2 linked regions of the Tribolium castaneum genome follow. The protein of the gene in region 1 binds, or shares a complex with, the protein of each later gene. Links are inferred from orthologs where the notes say so. Each region holds a gene or a part of one and is shown in the gene's direction. Other genes may lie near its edges. The genes, in order: polybromo and Snr1.

Evidence for each region.
Region 2: polybromo (region 1) and Snr1 share a complex: the UniProt entries of both Homo sapiens proteins name them as parts of the SWI/SNF-B (PBAF) chromatin remodeling complex. The link is inferred for Tribolium castaneum from reciprocal best matches to the Homo sapiens genes PBRM1 and SMARCB1.

What each region holds. Positions count from the first base shown.
Region 1 is NC_087397.1:6,257,920-6,262,513, forward strand, and holds the start of polybromo (protein polybromo-1), read left to right. Parts: upstream 1-1,703; 5' UTR 1,704-1,845; intron 1,846-2,152; exon of another isoform or gene 2,153-2,174; 5' UTR 2,175-2,178; coding exon 2,179-2,304; intron 2,305-2,353; coding exon 2,354-2,664; intron 2,665-2,713; coding exon 2,714-3,152; intron 3,153-3,198; coding exon 3,199-3,375; intron 3,376-3,421; coding exon 3,422-3,712; intron 3,713-3,761; coding exon 3,762-3,857; intron 3,858-4,025; coding exon 4,026-4,196; intron 4,197-4,242; coding exon 4,243-4,550; intron 4,551-4,589; coding exon 4,590-4,594. Other genes in the region: Fdx1 (adrenodoxin-like protein 1, mitochondrial), read left to right, coding at 1-23, 71-416; thioredoxin domain-containing protein, read right to left, coding at 487-646, 694-819, 867-1,028, 1,076-1,214, 1,267-1,452, 1,500-1,638. UniProt on the Homo sapiens protein: Involved in transcriptional activation and repression of select genes by chromatin remodeling (alteration of DNA-nucleosome topology). Required for the stability of the SWI/SNF chromatin remodeling complex SWI/SNF-B (PBAF).
Region 2 is NC_087401.1:13,705,518-13,710,131, reverse strand, and holds the start of Snr1 (SWI/SNF-related matrix-associated actin-dependent regulator of chromatin subfamily B member 1), read left to right. Parts: upstream 1-1,791; 5' UTR 1,792-2,017; coding exon 2,018-2,289; intron 2,290-2,336; coding exon 2,337-2,644; intron 2,645-4,614. Other genes in the region: PIG-L (N-acetylglucosaminyl-phosphatidylinositol de-N-acetylase), read right to left, coding at 25-343.

The sequences.
Region 1 (4,594 bases):
GATCCCAAATCCCCCGATGAAGTGTAACAGTTCGCGCGGTTATATTACGTAAAATACACATTTTTTTCAGTGTTAACATAACTTTTGTTACAAAAGACGGTGAAAAGGTCCCTGTAAAGGGCAAAGTAGGTGATAATGTCCTATACTTGGCTCACAGATACAAAATTCCCATGGAAGGGGCCTGTGAGGCCTCCCTAGCATGTACCACTTGTCACGTTTATGTGAAAAGTGATCACGAACTTACGCCAGCTGAGGAAAAAGAAGAGGATTTGTTAGACATGGCGCCGTTTCTTAAAGAAAACTCTAGGTTAGGTTGTCAGATTATTTTAACCAAAGAATTAGAAGGGCTTGAGTTAGAATTGCCACAAGCAACGAGGAACTTTTACGTTGATGGCCACACACCAGCGCCTCATTAACCTTCTATTGTGTAAATAACGAGTTATGAAGTCAGCCACCAATTTATTTTAATAAAAAAGTGTTAAAAATTTATTTGTCTTTCTTGCTTGTCGGTTTTTGCGGCTTTTCAGTCTTACGACATTTCATTAAAATTATCAACAAGAAACCAACAACAGTCGCCGCTAAACCAATTTTCCACGCCATTGCGCTTTCCTTCAAATTAAGTACGATATTTTCGACAATATTATCACTGAAAAATTCCATTATAACACAAGAAGATAAATTGCAATTGCTTACAATGGCGTTTTAGGCGATGGTACTTTAATGGGAGTCACGTTTTTGTACCATTCTTGGGCAAAAGAAGTGAAAGACGCAACGTCGTACTTTTGGATTTGATATTTATACATTTTGCCTTGTCTGAAGCTAAAAAAATGTGTGAGAATTGAAACAAAATTGAGAAGTCAATTTACAGAATAAAAGTTGGGGCTTGGGAGACTCCAAATCGTGTGGCGGTAGCGGCCCCATCTGTCGCCTTATTGACTCGTGCGACGTTCATTCGTGTTTTTAATTGTGCCCCGACTGTCTCCCACCGGGCTTGAAGGCGGTGGCAATCGACACAGTCTGGGGTATAACTTTGAAAAAATTAAACAAAAATCTACAACCATTTAAAAAGACTTACAACATCACAAACCAGTCGCCTGTGGTAGCCCCACTGGCGGCCTGGGTTAAGTGTTCAAAAGTCTCATCGTTTAATTCCTTCACCACCGGTTCTTTATTGTTAACAAATGTGTGAAGAATTAGCTCTTCTGAAGGAATATCTAAAGCAAAATAAATGCGAATAAAATTGATTACGGTTAAATGTAGCAATACCATTATAAAGTAGAGGAATTCCATGTCTGAAAAACACCAAAACCGGCTCCTTCGTGGGGCTATACAGTCTTGTTAACTGGCTGTTAACGACTTTAACAGTCTCTCCTTCAAATGATTTAGAGAACTCTTCCTCCAAATTTGTTAAAATGTTTTCGAAGTTATCACAAAGTTCGCAATTTTTCGCAGCTGGAATTTTCGTTCAATCTTGATAGGAACGCAAAGTGGGGACTTACAAAACAGCGCAACCACATAAGTCTCACTTCTGATTAAGTTCATGAGATCATCATCCTGGATTGATTTTATTGCACCACAGTTACAAAAACTATTGAAAATAACGGACAGACACGACAAAATATACAAAAACCTACTCATTTTAGCTCAATAACCTCACATAACCCAAAACATTCAACAACACGAAAATCCCCCAGAATTGTCAACCATCAGCCATTTTGTTGACGAGTGATGCCGGTTTTTATTATCGATTTATGATTTGTGCACAAATGTGAAGTGCAAGGGTTTATTTGCAAAAACGGTGTGTTTTTGTGGACTTTTCCTTGTGTGATGATCAACTGAATCCAGGTTTGTCCAATTGCAACCATAATTAGCAGTTGTTTCATGATATTTGCCCAATTAGTGTAAGGCCATGACTGTATTAATTTTTACGGCCATTGATTGTGTTTTTCAATAATAAAAAATCAATTAACGAGATTTGACAATCGTACATTGTCAATAAGCTATTTCTGGCGCGTGTTTATGGTTACCGACGTCCGTGGTATTCCGTTTAGCGTTTGTTTACGACGTCATTTGACACAACAATTGGCGCTCATTTGAATTAAGACTTCTGTAATTTGATTTCTGTACGATTCACTACTTTAGTTAAATGTAGCCTTGGTTGAAAACCTTTTCAGCATAATGAGTAAAAGGCGTCGAACGAGTTCTATAGCCAGTAGGGGGCAAGAAGACGATTCTTTGGATAGTCTGGAGGCTTCGACTAGTACAGGACCTACGATGCGAAAGCGCAGCAAAAAACTAGATCCTGTAACAGGAAATTGCGAGTTTGTTCCACATTGTGACGCCTTGTTTTTAGATGGAACTTTGTCAACAATTGTACGATTCAATCCGCAATCACAAAAAAGACGACGGGACTCTTCTCTGCGATTCGTTTATTCGAGTACCGAAACGTAGACAAGAGCCCGGCTATTATGAGGTTGTTTCAAACCCGATCGATTTGTTGAAAGTGCAACAAAAACTGAAAACTGAGGAATATGAGGATATCGAGGATTTGCAGAACGATATCGAGTTAATTGTCAATAACACGAAAGCTTTCTATAAAAAGAATTCGCAGGAGTATCGCGACGCCATAGATTTGTGGGCCTTGTTTCTCTCTAACAAACACAAGTGAGTCCCGTTTTTAAATTAATTAACACTTAGCCATGTCTCAATTCAGACTACTTAATACCAAAGACGATGAACCCGAACCTAAGGGAAAAATCGTGTTAAAAGTCGGAAGACCGAGCAAAAAAGCCGGCACTCCGGTCGAAACCAAAGAACCTGAGCACTCTGAGGACACTTCAGAGAGTTCGAATTTCGACGACGATGTCAATTTATACGAGGAGCTGTTCACTTCAGTCATGACAGCGACCGATAATGAAAATCGGCCACTTCACACTTCTTTCCAGCTAATTCCCTCGAAGAAAAAATATCCCGAGTATTACGAAGTGATCGAACAACCCATCGATCTAAAAATGATTGCCACCAAAATCCAAACTAACGACTATTGCAGCTTGGCCGAGCTCGAGAAAGACTTGATGTTAATGTGCAAAAACGCCTGTTTGTTTAACGAACCCGGTTCGCAGATTTACAAAAACGCGAAAGCGCTGAAAAAGGTGAGAGCCGGGTTGTTTGTACCATTGACCCTTCAGTATTTTGTAGATAATTCAAAGTAAAAAAGCCGAGCTGGATCACATTAAATTAAGTTTGGGTAAAAGCAGCGAACGCATTAGGAATAAACGGTTAAGGGGCAGTACATCGCTATCTGCGGTCACTGCAGCCCTAAGGGACGACGAGTCGGACGCTGAGGTGGAACCAGAGGAACAGATGGACGATGAAGTAGCAAATCAAAGTGCAAAGTCGTTTTTTCAATGAATTGTTTCAGTCAATTGCTGATCCTCTTGATGTCGAAGATCCCCAGTGGCAATTGTTCGAGGCTGTGCGTTCAGTGACGAGTAATAGCGGAGTTTCCTTGAGCGAACCCTTCTGGAAATTGCCCTCGAAACGTTTCTATCCAGACTATTACCGCGAGATCAAAAACCCAGTCTCTTTGACTCAAATCAAACGAAAACTGACCAAGCACGCTTATGGCACCATAAGCGAAGTGGCCGGTGACATGACCATAATGTTTGAGAATGCGAAAAAGTATAACCTGCCGTCGTCAAGGTTGTATAAAGTGAGTTTGGTAACGTTTTCAACGTGAAATTTGAGCGAGTTTGTTCCAGGACGCTGTCAAGTTGCAAAAGGTCATGCAAATGAAAGTGCAAGAACTACTTGACATTGATCAGGTAACATACAGAGTCACTAACAAAAACCGGAAGGTATGCTACTGCACTGCTTATGTCTTCATTGCATTTATTAACTGTCGGGAGTTATTCATTTTGTGGGCGCTTACGTTGCTAACATCAGTCGGCTTGTTTCACTATTTTCCTAATCAGGCGTTTGAGTTGATGGTAATTGTTTAAATTTTTGTCTTTTTCAATCTTCAGGATACAGACAGTGAGGCAGATTCCGAAGTCGTTGTGCGCAAAAAGCCAGGACCTAAGCCAAAAAATACGCAATCGAGTGGCAGCACGCCACAAAGAGGGCGTCCACCGCGAGACCCAATCCCGCTAAAAAAACGTTTGCACGCTTTAGCGAAATATATGCTCGACTATACTGTCAGTTACACGTTTTGCAATTTTTTTTCTATTAGCCATTTTTCAGTGTGAGGATGGCCGAAAGCCCATGCTCGGCTTTATGGAAAAACCCTCGAAAAAATTGTATTCGGAATATTACGAAGTCATTTCGGAACCGATCGATTTCCTCGAAATTGAGCAAAAAATTCGCGCCGATCAGTACAGCTCCGAGAGTGACTTAGTCAAAGATTTTAAGCTCATGTTTTCGAACTGCCGACAGTTTAACGAGGAAAATTCGCCAATTTACGAGGATTCCCTCGTTTTGGAAAAACATCTGTTGGATAAAGTTGGGCATAGTGTCACTCCGGAAAAGAAGGAAAAAACCGTAGTCAGAGTGTACGTTTCCGGCTGAAAAATAAAAAAATAACAGTTTAGTTGCA
Region 2 (4,614 bases), on another chromosome or scaffold:
CCGAAAAATGAGCGGGTCTCAAACCTGTCGAAAGACACATCAGGAACACTTTACATTGGTTCTGTTTGGTGAAGTTCAAAACAGTGGGGCCAAAAAACATGCATTCGTCGTCAGGATGTGCGATTACTAGTAAAACACGATGGGGGTTTTTTACGTCTTTTTTGAAGTGGATTATCTTCCAGCGAGAGATGGAAAGGTACAAAAACACGCATACTATGATGTACACGGACACGGCTACGATTAAATGCTCCACGGTTTCTTTCGTGTATTCCTGGACTCGAACGGTTAGATTCTTCCAAGAGGCTGAGACGAGGGACACCAACGATTCGAAACCTAGACTCATGCCAAGGCGCTGCTTGGCTCATCTCAGTCATGAAGTCACGCTCGAAATAGATTTACCGAGCATTTGCGGTATTTTTAGATTTTCTGGCGGAGAAATTGGCACAGGGCATAATTTTGAGGTTAGGTTGACGTCCCCATTTCTAGGGATTTTTATCTGTCACTAGCATTCCCAAGCGGGAATTCTGGTCACCAACAGAAAATCAACGACAGAAAAGACATTTCTAGAAACATTCACGTTTCTAGAATTTTACATTTTTAAATTAATACCACTAATAGTCTTCATAATTGTAAAACTAATGGTACTTTTCATTTTTTTATGTTCGTAAAAATAAAAAAGTTATGAGACCTCAAAGTCTCTCTAGGTGTGACGTCGGGCGGCACAATTGACTCAGCTGGTTAAAATTAACATGTTTCCAAAATTATTTCGCTGTTCCTCAATTTTTTCCATTTAGCTATTGCAGTCCTATATCTTTTATGAATGTTTAATGAACTATAACTAAATAAAATAAATAAAATTCAGAAATCTCACGTTATAAAACCGTTGGATATCAAAAAATGAGAACAAGACATCTTTAGAAAAACAAGAGAATCGTAATTTCATATCTTTGAAAACACTAGGTTTATAATTATAAACCACATCTACTTATTCATCGAACGTATCTTCAAAAGCATTAACAAATAAAGAAATTGTATTTCTGTAAATAACAAGTCGTTTGTAGAACACTTATTTTTTTACATATTTTTTTTTGTACAAAACATTCTGCAAGCATCGCTTGTTCTATAAATCATAAAAATTTCCATTAGTTAATGTTTTTAGTTTTTTTTAAATAAAATAATATTTTATTAATATAAATATTTCTCATTAATTAATATTTATTATTTATAAGAAATTGTAGAAAAAATCTGATAAAATTCGAAGGCTTACAGAAAGAAATAAAGCAAAAAAAATCACAAACGCTGATTTTTGTGTGATTATTTAAATGGATTATTATTGGTTATTAGTGATTCATTACAGTATCTCCTTAAACAAATTACTTCAATTATCACAAATAACACTTTCTTTCAATATTTATATCTTTTAAGTCAATAAAATTATCCGGAGATCTCAATACAATGCCGAAAGGAACAGTAGTGTGTAAATCGCCGTAAATGACCCAATACTTAACAGTTTTTGATTACGCAATAGATTAAATAACTCTTTGTAATCAAAAATCTTTTTCACTTTTTTATCAAAGTCCAACATAAAACACTTTATAATCACGAAAAAACGCAAAACCAAAGGCAACACTAGTATTTACCGGCATATAATTTTAAATTGACTCTCTCTAATGTAAAAAATTAACAGTACACACGCAGAATTGCTAAATAATCCATTAAATGAGCAATTACCAAAACTTGTTACTGTTTTCGGCAAGTACGACATGTCGTCACCAGAGGACGCCTAGTTAATGCATTTCTGGTGATTTCAGTTTTGTCAATTAGACTAGCCACCAAAAGTGTTTTTTTACGAATTGTTTGAATTAATTAACCCCAAGTACCATCTCGTGCAAAACCAAACGAAATAATGTGAATCGTGTCCTTGCTTTGTGTAATTTATGCCCGTATTTTCCATTTGAGTGCCCTGTTGACATTTGTTGGTGTCACCTAACCTCACAGTGTTAAAGGACGCGGCAAAATGGCCCTCCGAACATTCGGTGAAAAACCGATAACTTTCCAATTGGAGGAAAATGGGGAGTATTACTGTGTGGGCTCCGAGGTGGGGAACTACCTGCGCCTGTTCCGGGGTTCCCTCTACAAGAAATACCCCGGAATGTACCGCAGGTCAATCACAAACGAGGAACGCAAACGCCTCATCGAGCTGGGCTTGAGCCAGCACGTTCTGGCCAGCAGTGTCTCACTGCTTCGGGCCTCGGAAGTCGAGGATATCATTGAGGGAAATGACGAAAAGTTGGTTTGTTTTTTGGGGGTTTTGTTGTTATTTGTTGATTATTTAGGTATAAGGCTGTTTCGGTGCACACTTCGGACCCGCCGATGCCGAGGGAGAGTAAATCGAAGAAGTCGATGCAATGGGTGCCCTCACTCCCAAACTCCAGTCATTTGGACGCTGTGCCCCAAGCCACCCCGATTAATCGGAACAGAGTGGCGGCGAAGAAAGTTCGGACGTTTCCGTTATGTTTTGATGATACTGATCCAGAGCTGAATATGCAAAATGCGGCACAAGGGGAGTTGTTGGTCCCGATAAGGCTGGATATGGAAATTGAGGGGCAGAAGCTGAGAGACACTTTCACGTGGAATAAAAACGGTAATTTTTTGGGTTTTTCTAATCACAGTACGCTCTGCATTTGAAATAAAGTTGTAACTTTTACATTATTTATTCTTATCAACTTATTTTCGAATACTTATTAGCGCATTTTGATCTGAAATTTAATTCTTGAATAATTTTTAAACCTGCCACCAGTCATTTAAACTAATCAAGATTGCGTGATACGAGAAAAATATGTTGGCAATGACTGTAGTCTAGTAACTAAGGTTACATCTGTTATCTAAATTGACACCATATTGTTGATACTGGGTCCTGATTATTAACTACAAACTTGTAGTAAATGATAAATTTTTTGATAAAACGCATTTTTAAACACTTTTAATATGATTTATAACTTTTTTTGAGTTTAATTTAATTAAAACACGTCAAAAGATCATCTAAATATGTCGAAAATGACCTGAATTTGACACTCTTTAAAAACAGTTCCAATTAGATTAAAGTGTATGTTTTCTTTAAAGTGACTTTGCTTTTTTGTTGAAGCAAAACTTCATAAAAACGCTAAAAAATCATCTAAATATGTTGAGTAATAGCGTTATTTCCAGATTATTTTGCCTTTTTTTTATTAAACTTATCTTGTTTTTGAGTATGAGACTTACTTGTTCTTGAAAGTTTTGTCAAAAAATGACTAAATTAGGTCGAAATTGACGTTTTCTTCAGTAGTGATTTGGACACATTTCGTGAAAATGCACCGAAAAATCATCTAAATATGTCAAAACTTATGTCATTTTGACAATGTTTTCTCTTTTTTGAAAACTTTTTTTTTATTAAATACCCCGAAAAATATCTAAATATATCGAAAGTTACGGTTGGTTCGACATTATTTTAGTTTTTGTCGTTAGATTTATTTTTTTTAGCGAGAAACTGACTTTTTTGTAAAATTTTGTCAAAAATAAGCAAATTGAGATAAAATTGACGTCCTAGTTTTAAGAATTTCTGGTAGGTTTATTTGTTTTGGAGCCAGGAACTGCAAAGTTTCGTGACAGAATTAATCAAATGTAATGTTTTTTTTAACAGCTTAATTTCTTAAAATAATCTAGCTTTGTTTTTATACGAAATTGCATTAAAATGCGCCGAAAAATTTACTTTCATATTTTTCTTGCCTTTTTCATTAAGTAAGTAAGTAAGTTTTTGAGCGAAAATCTCCATTGTTTTGAAGAATTTTGTCAAAAAGCCAATTTAAATAAAAATTGAGGTGCTTTTTCAGTCTATTTAATATATTATTATTTATTAATTATTCTAACCAACTGTATTTCTGTTGAAAAATGTACTAAACACGCTCAAAAATGTAAAATAATTGAGTTTTAAGTTTAAAATGGTGATAAAACTCCCAAAAAATGCAAAATTATCACCATTTTTGACGCAGGTTAGTGACTTTTCGGCTTATTTTTGAGAAATTTAATAATAATAAAAGTGTTTTATTCTCCCATTTTTGTTATTTGATAATTGTAGAGTGGGCCCAAGTCCCAAACCTTTGTTTTTATCTATAGCCGACCTAATTTAAAGTTTAGACCAAGTAAATACCAACTCAAGAAAAAAAAAACTTTTTTTTTTTTTCAGAAGTTTCGTTTTTTCTTCTGTCTTTTTGTTTTTTAGTTCGAACATGTATTTGACTGTCATCCTTCATCATCAACAGAGTATTTTTTTTAATTACACAATATTTTGTGCATTGTTGTTAGTTTCGTAGTTTTTTTATTTTTATTATTTTTATATTTGTTGAAATCGGGATATTAGAAATTATATTTAGGGTTTCAATTACCAACTGTTAAACTTTTATAAAAAAAATTTAACAAGACGAAAATACAAAACAACCGTTGGGTATTTTTGAGAGACGATTTTTTAAAATAAAAAAAATAAAAAAAAATTGTATAAAAAATAATGTTTGGTGCTTTTGAGCGACTAGTTTTTGGTTTTTTTTTCAATATCAAAAAAATCAGCAAACGTAACTTTAG